3 linked regions of the Oryctolagus cuniculus genome follow. The protein of the gene in region 2 purifies or fractionates together with the protein of the main gene of each other region. This does not show direct contact. Links are inferred from orthologs where the notes say so. Each region holds a gene or a part of one and is shown on either strand. Other genes may lie near its edges.

Evidence for each region.
Region 1: the proteins of RHOD (region 2) and PLXNB2 purify together in Homo sapiens (affinity purification with mass spectrometry; 3 studies listed by BioGRID and IntAct, counting the BioPlex papers as one, with this or other methods). This does not show direct contact. The link is inferred for Oryctolagus cuniculus from reciprocal best matches to the Homo sapiens genes RHOD and PLXNB2.
Region 3: the proteins of RHOD (region 2) and DIAPH2 purify together in Homo sapiens (co-immunoprecipitation; 3 studies listed by BioGRID and IntAct, with this or other methods). This does not show direct contact. The link is inferred for Oryctolagus cuniculus from reciprocal best matches to the Homo sapiens genes RHOD and DIAPH2.

Annotation. Positions count from the first base shown.
Region 1 is NC_091442.1:123,237,069-123,240,716, reverse strand, and holds part of PLXNB2 (plexin-B2), read left to right. Parts: intron 1-2,060; 5' UTR 2,061-2,073; coding exon 2,074-3,153; intron 3,154-3,648.
Region 2 is NC_091432.1:4,925,698-4,929,345, forward strand, and holds part of RHOD (rho-related GTP-binding protein RhoD), read right to left. Parts: intron 2,352-3,648; coding exon 2,264-2,351; intron 1,082-2,263; coding exon 972-1,081; intron 1-971. UniProt on the Homo sapiens protein: Involved in endosome dynamics. May coordinate membrane transport with the function of the cytoskeleton. Involved in the internalization and trafficking of activated tyrosine kinase receptors such as PDGFRB.
Region 3 is NC_091453.1:95,819,747-95,823,394, forward strand, and holds part of DIAPH2 (protein diaphanous homolog 2), read right to left. Parts: intron 2,799-3,648; coding exon 2,662-2,798; intron 353-2,661; coding exon 244-352; intron 1-243. UniProt on the Homo sapiens protein: Could be involved in oogenesis. Involved in the regulation of endosome dynamics.

The sequences.
Region 1 (3,648 bases), on a different chromosome or scaffold from region 2:
AGTCGGCAGGTGGATCGCCCTTTGCTCCTAGGCTGGCAGGCAGGTCACCTGAGGCCTATTTGTCCAGGAAGTAGACGGGAGCCTCCTGTGGACACACAGGCCCTCCCTCCTGCCACCCCTGGGGTCCCTCTGCCAGCCCTGGGCAGTGTGGGGGTGTCTGGCCAGTGCTGCTGTCAGTGGCAGGATCTAGTCACACATGATATTTACTGAGCACCCAGGGTGTGCCTGCCCCAGGGGTGTCTGTTGACATCAGTCAGGAGAGGCGCAGGGGGAGCCGCCTGGATCTTTCTGCCAGGGGTGAGAGCATTGTCTGAAGGGGGCCCACAGGGTCCCCCTGTCTGTCTGGCCTGGGCTCCAGGCCTAGCCCTGTGGTAGAGACCCGCCCAGGGGCCTGGGCGCCTGTTGGGCGGCCCCAGCTGCAGCCCCGCCCACGCACTCCTCCTCCTCCCCCCCTCCCTGGGCCCCAGGACATTCCATTCATTCCGGGCTCACTGTGGCTGGCGCGGCCCGCTGGGCGGGGCGTGGGTGAGTGGGGAAGGCTGGAAGGACAGGCTTGGTGGGGACTGATACTGCTGGGTGGACTGCGGGGGGGTGTGGGGAAAGTGGGGCCTTTGTGGGGGGGTAGCAGGAGGGCCTGTACCCATGGATACCCCAAGAGAGTCTTGCTGTTCTCGCGTCTCCCCATCTTCCTCCTCCCCCACCCCACCTGTGGGTGGGCTCCTGGACCCTGTGTCCCCAGGGTTTGTGTGAGGACTGAGCCCCGGTGCAGGTTCTGTGCAGAGGCCAGGTCACCTGGAGGGGTTGTCTGCGGGGAGCAGGGTGGCAGACCAGCTCGGCCTCCCCCCGCCGAGAAGGCTTTGTTGGGCACCTTTCCTCTGAGCTCAGAGCTGGGTGCAGCGTGCGGGAGGGGACAGCCACAGCCTGTAGGGCGACTTGGGTGCCTGAGCAATAAAGGAGCGACTGGGAGGAGTGACAGGGTCTGCGAGGAGCAGGCAGCCTGTTGCAGTGAACACAGCTTCACTCAAAGCCTGCACGGGGTTTCTGCGTCCTGGTCTGGAGCAGCCGACGCCTAGATCCTGGGACGGTGATCCAGGAGCGGGGGGAGGCTGTGATAACGAGAGAGGGTCTGGGGGCTGGGGTCCCCAGAGGGAGACAGAAGGGCTCTCCCTGCCAGCACAGAATGGCTCTCCCTGCCAGCTGCTCTTGGATTCCCTGAGGCAAGTGGGAAGGGAATGGCAGATCCTGCAGCCCACTAGCCCACTCGTCCCATTCGTGGTCTGAACTCCAGGGCATGCATGAGGGCTCTCCCTCCACGTCTGCTGGGTTTGGAGCTGTTCAAAGCTCCCTGGAAGTCCCTCCTGGGATCCTGTCTCTGTGCCCCCACATCTGAGGCTCTGCCCATGGCGCCGGGAGGGGGGTGAGGCAGGGCGAGGAGGGGTTGAGAAGACTTACTTTCTCCCCCGCTGGTTCTGCCATGGGAACAGGGGTCTGGAAGGGGGTCCGGGAGGCCTCCGGGGAGAGCTCTGCAGGTGGGGCGGGGCTGGGGCAGGTGACTCTGGGAACAGGGGAAAGTGCCTGTGTGTTGGCTGAGCTGGTCACAGCAGGCCTCGAGGACCAGCCTGTGCTCGGGGTCAGTACAGGACAGGTGTACAGCTCACCTGCTCGTGCCCCCAGGGCTTGTCCGTCGGCCTGGGCCTGTGCATGGGGGCAAGTTGTCTGGGGCCAAAGGCCCCCCGACCGACAGCCTGGAGCTTCTTGGAGAGTCACAGGGTGGGGAGCTGGGCTCCGCCCTGGCCTGTTGCCTTGGACCTGGAGGTGGAGAAGAGGCCTCGGCTTCCCAGGGCGTGGAGTAGCGGTGGCTCCACCCTGGTCACCAGGTAGACTGCGCGGTGAAGGGCTAGGAAGTGGGTTTCCTGGAGCTCTGAGGTGGAACAGGGGTGTGTGTGTGTGTGTGAAGGGTGCTGGGTTCCCCGGCTCAGTCTGGGATCACGGCCCGCTGGCCTGTGTTCACAGGCACCCTTTGGGCTAGGGCTCCCTTGACCCCTGCTTTTTTCCCACAGGCTGTCGGGGGCAATGGCACTGCAGCTCTGGGCCCTGACCCTCCTGGGCCTGGCGGGCATGGGGTCAAGCCTGCGGCCTGGCAGACTGGACTTCTTCCACAGTGACACAGAGCTGAACCACCTGGCCGTGGACCAGGCTTCCGGCGTGGTGTACGTGGGGGCCGTGAACGCGCTCTACCAGCTGAGTGCCGACCTGCAGCTGGAGCAGAAGGCAAACACAGGCCCGGCCCTGGACAACAAGAAGTGCACGCCGCCCATCGAGGCGAGCCAGTGCCATGAGGCCGTGCTGACCGACAACGTGAACCAGCTGCTGCTGCTCGACCCTCCTGGCAGGCGCCTGGTGGAGTGTGGCAGCCTCTTCAAGGGCATCTGTGCCCTGCGGGCCCTCAGCAACATCTCCACGCGCCTCTTCTATGAAGACAGCAGCGGCGAGAAGTCCTTTGTGGCCAGCAATGACGAGGGCGTGGCCACCGTGGGGCTGGTTAGCGCCACGGGCCCCGGCGGGGAGCGCGTGCTGTTTGTGGGCAAAGGCAACGGGCCGCACGACAATGGCATCATCGTGAGCACCCGCCTGCTGGACCGGGCCGAGGGCAGGGAGGCCTTCGAGGCCTACACGGACCACACCACCTACAAGGCCGGCTACCTGTCCACCAGCACACAGCAGTTCGTGGCGGCCTTCGAGGACGGCCCCTACGTCTTCTTCGTCTTCAACCAGCAGGACAAGCACCCAGCCCACAACCGCACGCTGCTGGCACGCATGTGCAGACAGGACCCGTTCTACTACTCCTACCTGGAGGTGGACCTGCAGTGCCACGACCCCAGCGACCCCCAGGCCCCCGCCTTTGGCACCTGTCTGGCGGCCTCCGTGGCCACGCCGGGTGCTGGCAGGGTGCTGTACGCTGTCTTCAGTCGGGATGGCCGAGGTGGCCACGGAGGGCCCGGGGCAGGCCTCTGCCTCTTCCCACTGGATGAGGTCCACACCAAGATGGAGGCCACCCGCAAGGCCTGCTACGCGGGCACACGGGAGGCGGGCCGCAGCGACCTGTTCTACAAGCCCTTCCATGGCGAGATCCAGTGCGGCAACCACGGGCTGGTACGTGGGTGTGTGCCCTGTGCTGGGCATGGGGGCACAGCTGTGTGTGTGTGAGTGTGTGTGTGTGCCCTGTGCTGGGCAGGGGGGCACAGCTGTGTGTGTGTGTGTGTGTGTGTGTGCCCTGTGCTGGGCATGGGGGCACAGCTGTGTGTGTGTGTGTGCCCTGTGCTGGGCAGGGGGGCACAGCTGTGTGTGTGTGTGTGTGTGTGTGTGCCCTGTGCTGGGCATGGGGGCACAGCTGTGTGCGTGTGTGTGTGCGTGTGTGTGCCCTGTGCTGGGCAGGGGGCACAGCTGTGTGTGTGTGTGTGTGTGTGTGCCCTGTGCTGGGCATGGGGGCACAGCTGTGTGTGTGTGTGTGTGTGTGTGTGCCCTGTGCTGGGCAGGGGGCACAGCTGTGTGTGTGTGTGTGTGTGTGTGTGCCCTGTGCTGGGCATGGGGGCACAGCTGTGTGTGTGTGTGTGTGTGTGTGTGCCCTGTGCTGGGCATGGGGGCACA
Region 2 (3,648 bases):
GTCTGAGCTCCTGACACCCGCTTCCTGCTAACGCAGACCCTGGAAGGCAGCAGGCGATGCCTCAAGTGCGTAGGTCCCTGCCATCCGCGTGGGAGACCTGGATGGAGTTCCTGGCTCCTGGCTTCCGCCTGACTCAGCCCCAGGCAACCGGGGGCATTTGGCCCAGTAGATGGGGGCTCTCTATCTGCCCCTCTCGCTCTTTCTGCATCTCAAATAAACAAACAGGGATATACGCTGCAACACAGCTCTGAATGAGTGTGTGGGGCAGCCAGTCTGGGTTCAAGACCCAGTGTCGCTGCCCTCACCGATGTGCGTCTTTGGACGAGGGGCTCAATCCAGAGAGCGTGCGGACACGTGCCCATCGGGTGCTTAGGTGACTGACGTGAGCAAGAGGAGGCAGCATTCCAACAGTGTGCAGAATGCACCTTGTGAAGAAAACCACGTGGATTTCTATCGTCCTGCCCCCAGGCCAGGCTGTCCTAATTCCGTCTTCCCCGTGGGCTTTCTGCAGGACGCCTGGAGGTGGAAGTGGGCCCTGGCGGCCGCGGGGCATGGGCTGTGCCATGAGTGGAGGGAACTGGGACAGCTCAGAGTTGGCATCCTTGACGCCTGTCCCAGCCTTAGGACCCCAACATGACCGGGGGCACCCTGGGAGGCTGTGAGAGTCGGCACTGATCCCGGCAGGGGGCCGAGAGCAGCTGGGAGCCGACTTCCTGGTGTGTGGGAGCCAGGGGTGGGGGGCAGGGAGGCACAGGCTGGGGGGGGTGCTGCAGCCTTGGGCTCACCTGCTATCCCAGGGAGAGTCCCAGTGGAAGTGGAGTCTTCAGGGGCCGGGGGAGGGGCAGGCAGGGAGCACCCAGTGCCTTTGTGACCCCAGGCAAGGTGCTGCCAGCCCCCGGGCCTCAGTTTCCCCCGACAGTTGGCTCAGGGCTGGCTGTGGGGGTCACACTGCCTGATCCCACAGTACCTACCCGGTTAAAGACGTTGTCAAAGCTGCTGGGGCTGGTGACGTCAAAGCAGAGGAGCAGCACGCTGGCGTCGGGGTAGAACAGGGGCCGCAGGCGGTCATAGTCGTCTTGCCCTGGGCAGAGACGGGGGGCCTTACTGCCTGCAGATGTCCCCAGTATCAGATGGGGTCTCCAGAGGCAGGACACAAATCCTGCCTTAGGGGCTGGCCCCTCAGCACCACGCTGGCTGGGCTGGGAAGACGGCTTGCCAAGGACCCTGGTCTGGAAGGCATAGCAGGCAAGGCAGCAGCCAGGCCTGGAGGAACTGAGGCCCATTGCCCCGGGGCCTGCTGGGACCCCCTGAGATGAGCTTGCCCTTGTGTGGGCAAGGTCAGGAGGCCAGAGGTCAGACAGACCTTAGCGACGCTGAGGCTGGGGTCGGGTGCTTGGGAGGCCAGGGTAACTTGGCTTTTGACAGCAAAGAGTTCTGCCCCCCCCCCGCCCCCAAATCCTGGACACAGTGGGCTGCCCTGGGAGCGGGGAGGCAGGTGGGCTCAGGGCCAGGGACCCCTGGTTCTGGCCAACACCTGTCCCTGGCCAGCCCCCCAGCTCAGACGTAGGGGGTAGGGCTCCAACCTGAGTATGTGGGGCTCCACAGGGCCCTTCCAGCCCACCTGTCCCCACACCCCACTCCAACCCACCCGTCCCCACGCCCCGCTCCAGCCCATGCTTCAGCCCACCCACCCCCGCTCCAGCCCACCTGTCCCTGCGCACCACTCCAGCCCACCTGTCCCCGCGCCCCACACCAGCCCACCTGTCCCCGCGCCCCGCTCCAACCCACCCGTCCCCGCACCCCGCTCCAGCCCACCTGTCCCTGTGTGCCCCACTCCAGCCCACCCGTCCCTGTGCGCCCCACTCCAGCCCACGCTCCAGCCCACCTGTCCCTGAGCCCCGCTCCAGCCCACCCGTCCCCGCTCCAGCCCACCCGTCCCCACGCCCCGCTCCAACCCATCCGCCCCAGTGCCCTGCTCCAGCCCACTCGTCCCCGTGCCCCGCTCCAGCCCACCCCTCCCTGCGCGCCCCGCTCTAGCCCACACTTCAGTCCACCCACCCCGCGCCCCCCTCCAGCCCACCCGTCCCCGCCCCCACTCCAGCCACCTGTCCCCACCCCCACTCCAGCCCACCCACCCGTCTCCGCTCCAGCCCACCCATCCCTGCGCCTGGCTCCAGCCCCCGCTCCAGCCCACCCGTCCCTGTGCGCCCCACTCCAGCCCACCAGCCCTCGCTCCAGCCCACCGTCCCTGCCCCGCACCCACCTGCGGTGTCCCAGATCTGGAGGTGCACAGGTTTGCCTTTCACCTGCAGGTTCACGGTGTACCGCTCAAACACAGTGGGGCTGTAGCTCTGGGGAGGAAGGGGGGTGGCTTCAGGAAGCCGGCAGCCCAGCCCAGCCCAGCCCAGAGGGGCCTGGCACAGAACCAAGCCCCCAGAGCTGCCAGCTCCTGTCCCTGGCCCCTGGATTCCCAGTTCTGAGTCCTTGTGCACGCTGTCCCCGCTCCCGGAATCACGTTAGTCTACGTGGCTTGTTCCCTCCTTCAGTCACTTGCGCAGGCCCAATGCAGATATGGGAGAGCAAGGGTTAAACGAGCCTCAGGCCCTGCCCCAGGTGCTCATGGCTCTCTGTGCACCCCTCCACCTCCGCCTCTGATCCCGTCCCACGCCACCTCCCCTGGGTGCCTGGCTTGATCTGCCACACTGCCTCTCGTTTCGGCTTCTTACTGGCCCTGTGTGGCCTGGGGTGGGGTGCCCTGGGCAGGGCCGGAGACACTCAGCCCCGCGTGGCCTGAGCCCACTCCTCTGCATGGGCACTGGGTGAGCAGGCCCCCGGACAGCTTAGTTTAAAGATTTTTATTTATTTGTTGAAAGGCAGAGTTACAGAGACTGACAGTGAGAGAGAGAGAGAGAGAGTGAGAGAGAAAGAGAGAGAGGTCTTCTTTCCACTGGTTCACTCCCCAAATGGCTGCACCAGCTAGGGCTAAGCCAGGTGGAAGCCAGGAGCCAGGAGCTTCTTCCAGCCCTTCTCCCACGTGGGTGCAGGGGCCCAAGGACTTGGGCCATCTTCCACTGCTTTCCCAGGTGCACTAGCAGGGAGCTGGATCAGAAGTGGAGCAGCCGGGACTTGAACAGGTGCGCACATAGGATACGGTGGAAGAAGCATCGCAGGTGGTAGTTTAACCACTGCGCCATGGCCCTAACAGCTTTTGCACACAGACGGAAATCCAGGAATGGAGAGTGGATTTCCGCAAGACGGGGTCTGGGCAGTGGGCAAGGAGGCTTTCAAAGCTCTGTCCCCAGCCACGCCCTGCGCCTCGAGGGGCTAGAGGTTCTGCCTGCATCTCTGGTCCCCAGGCTCAGCCCGTGCCTGTGGCTGAGTGCTGGGACCACAGTCCTCTCCCCTCCCATGGCAGGCGGGGCCAGTGCCTACCTGTGACTCAGGAGGACTGCACGCCGGCCGGCTGGACCGCTGAGTCAGACTCCGCCTGGGAGGGGCAGCACCTTAGCGCCAGCCCAGTGCCAGCCCCCGGGGCCCCTGGGAAGCCGTGCGGCTGGGCTGCGAGGGAGGCGGATCCTGGGGTGGGCAGCTGGGGAAGATGGAAGTGGCCTTCCCCGGGCTCCAGCCTACCCTGTCCCTCTATCTAAG
Region 3 (3,648 bases), on a different chromosome or scaffold from region 2:
TATTATATTAATTACTGAATTTATACTCAGATATAAATGATAGTCATAACTGTTATATTTAAAATAATTCAGAAGTATTTTCCCAAATTTAAAACAAATTATTATTGTCACAAACAAAACAACAGGAAGAATGTTTTTTTACATTCCATTCTATTTAAATGCCAGCTAAAATGGAGTTGGTGTTTTACAAAATGAGTACTCTAAATATACATCTAGAAACAATGTAAGATAAAACTAATTCACCTGTAATTGCAAGGCTTCATGATTTTCTAATCCTTCAACAATTGGTGAAAATCGTTCCCTGTTATTTCTTTCTGCTGCTGTAGTTATAGCCCCTAAAAGTTTATCTAAACTGTAGAGGGGGAAAAAAAGAAAAGAAAAAAAATGAGAACTGCATCCTATACACACATTATGCTCATGAGTTATTCCTATAGATCTTACCTGTTTTTCTTTATGATGCTTGATTCTTACACAAACCACCACGATTTTTAAAATTCTTTCTTTTGAATTGACAAAAGTGTACATATTTATGGTTCCAATATAATGTTCTGAAATGTGTATACATTGTGGAATGGCTAATTGAAGCTAATTAATATATTAATTACCTCACACACTTACCTTTCTTTTGTAGTTGAAGCACTTAATATCTACTCTTAGCTATCTTCAAGTATACACTACATTGTTACTAATTATAGTCACCACAGGGTACATGAGATCTCTCAAATTTATTCCTTCTGTCTAACCAAACCATCATTGCAATATAAGAATCATGTTGCCATCCACTATTTTTTTTTTAATTTTCGAACTTTAATCTTTAATTACTTTTTAACGGATTCAATGTGCTTTGTAGATACAATTCTAAGAACATAATGACATTCCTTCCTGCTTCACTCCCTCCCTCCTTCCCTTTTTCTCCCTCCCACCCTCCTTGCTTCTCCCTTTCTTTCTTTTTTATTAGTTTTTAAGTATGAAATGTACATCGCAGCAAAGGCTTAACACCTCCCCAAATAAGTAGTTTAACAAGTAAAAAGCAAAATGACCCTAGTTTAGTGGGAATATAGGCAACAGTTATTAACAATAATTGAATGGCCATCCATATATTTCTACAAGTTAAATATTGATAGCTTAAAAAATACTGAAAGCAATCATTCTACATGATATTTTAAAAAGAATATTTCAGAAAAAATGAATATGTCATTGAGACACACTGAAACTGAAATGTTGAGGTTTGATATTTCATGTGTTAATATATATTAAAATCAATTAAATATAGCATTTACAATTATTTTGTATTATTTTAAAAGTATACACAGACTTAATAATAAAGTGTAAACAGACTATAATATCATAATAAAGTACTGGAAAGAGTGAATATTTTAAAAAGAACTTAAAAAACAACAGTCTTTGATAATGGAACAGAAAAAACATAATCTAAAAGAAAAATCCAGAAAACTAAAGAAGTAACAATAATTATTTAGCATAGGAATCTTATTTACCAAAAAATAAGATCTGGTAACTATCTCCATCCAATGTCAAAATCAATTAACCTCTAAATAGTAGGCTATTACTTTCAAATGATATGTAAGCTATAATTAAAATATAACAAATATAACAGTCTAGGTTGTATTTATAAATTAAGAATTGACAACATAATTAAGAAAATATTTCTGACTCATATATAAACCGACTATTCTCTAAAACCTAAGGAAACTCAACAATTGCACACATTATATGTCAACTGGTTCTCATTGAGATAAGATTTAATGCTAGATTATATCTTTGTTTAATGTTTGTGTTTTGGTTTTCAAGGACATTAACTAGCTCTAAGAAAATATTCATTTTATTCTAACAGTGATAATAAAGTTTACATGTTAAAATATCATTAGATCTTCACATGGCCCTGTTCTGACTCAAATTTAAATTATTACTGTCATACAAAGTGTTCAGAAGACATATTCTAGTTCATGTTCTTAGCAGACATTCCATTGTTCATCACAACATTTTGACAAACTGGACTTACTAATGACAGCAAAGCTTAAATGTTCTTCTGATTCAATATTCTTTCCATAAGAACATATGATCTAATGAATCTTCATCAACAACTTGCTGAATTTGGTACATATATGCACACTGAATAATTATCAACAACCCTTTGGTCTTTCTTTTTAGCAAGTTATTTCACTCTACAAATGATTACTTCATCCTTTCATTTACCACATGGAATGTAAAATGTGAAGCAATAGCCCAAAATAAAAACATCTAATCTATTCAATTAGTTAAAGAATTAAATTAATTAAAAAACTCAGAATAGGGTGAATTTCATGAGTGACTGTATGAGTGTATGAGTGTGTGTGTGTGTGTGTGTGTGAAAGTAATTTTTGTATCTACTTTTCTAATAACTGCTTTAGCCTCAGCAAGATAAAATTCTATTCTTCTTGAATTCAATTTTGAACAATTTCCCATTAGAACTCTATCAGTTTAAACCTAGTTTTCATAATATCAACAAAATGCTAAAATATAGACAAGATAAAAAATCAATCAAATTTTTCAAAAATCTAATACTCTTCATGCAGTTTATCGAAAGAAAGACAACAAAAGTACTTACTGACTTTTGAAATGTCATTTTACTTGCAGTCAATAAAACAATATAGCTATACTTACATGTTCTCTTCTCCAACAATGCAAATAGCAGAAAGTATTTTTACTATTTCAGTCATCATGTTAGGTTGTTTGGGGTCAATTGCTCGTGCCAATAGTAAAAGACTTCTTTCATCTCCTAGAATCCTTTGCAAACCAAACTAAAGAGGGAAAAAAGAGCCTTTATTCAAAATCAACATGTCTGTGGAACATAGGTTTAATGGCAAAACAAAAAAGCTTACAATGAATTTCCAAAAACCCAGACGTTCACAGAGATTCTACCTAATTATGTTAATGTTTTTAAGTGCAGTTATTTGTCTTTATTTTTTATTTGAATGACTATATCTCAGAAATTTTGTTTCTTAATTAAATATACCTCCCATAAACATCTGGAAGAAATTTGGGAACAATAAGCAGTTATTTAACAAAGAGCAACATATAAAACACATAATGATATTTTCTAAAGTAATTCTATGTATGTCACTGAGTCTCCCTGGAGATGTCTGGAATTCATCTGTCCAATATGTTTATGTGGAAAGTTGTAGTGATTAAAAAGCCAAAAATGTCTTGTATACTACATGCCAGTTAAAGAAGCAATCAAATCCCCATGCTTTCTCACTCTTATTCTTCCCCTTTTAGGCAATCATATGTCAATACAAAAGCTGTGAACTCAAAGAACTGGCACCTGAGTTCTATTAAGTGTCACCTCCACTAACCAGATGGAAAAGACACCTTTGTCATTTGTTTTCTAGACATGAATACGTGGATGTGCAAATTATAATAGATAGTAAAGATGTAAAAGGAGGCCTAAAACTTGGGTTTTCATTACATAAAGAAGAGAAATATATCAGCAATCCAAACATCACAGCAATATTATAACAGCAGATTAAGAACAATGGGTTGGGCCAGCACCATGGCTCACTTGGTTAATCCTCTGCCTGTGGCGCCGGCATTCCATATGGGTGCCAGGTTCTAGTCCTGGTTGCTCCTCTTCCAGTCCAGCTCTCTGCT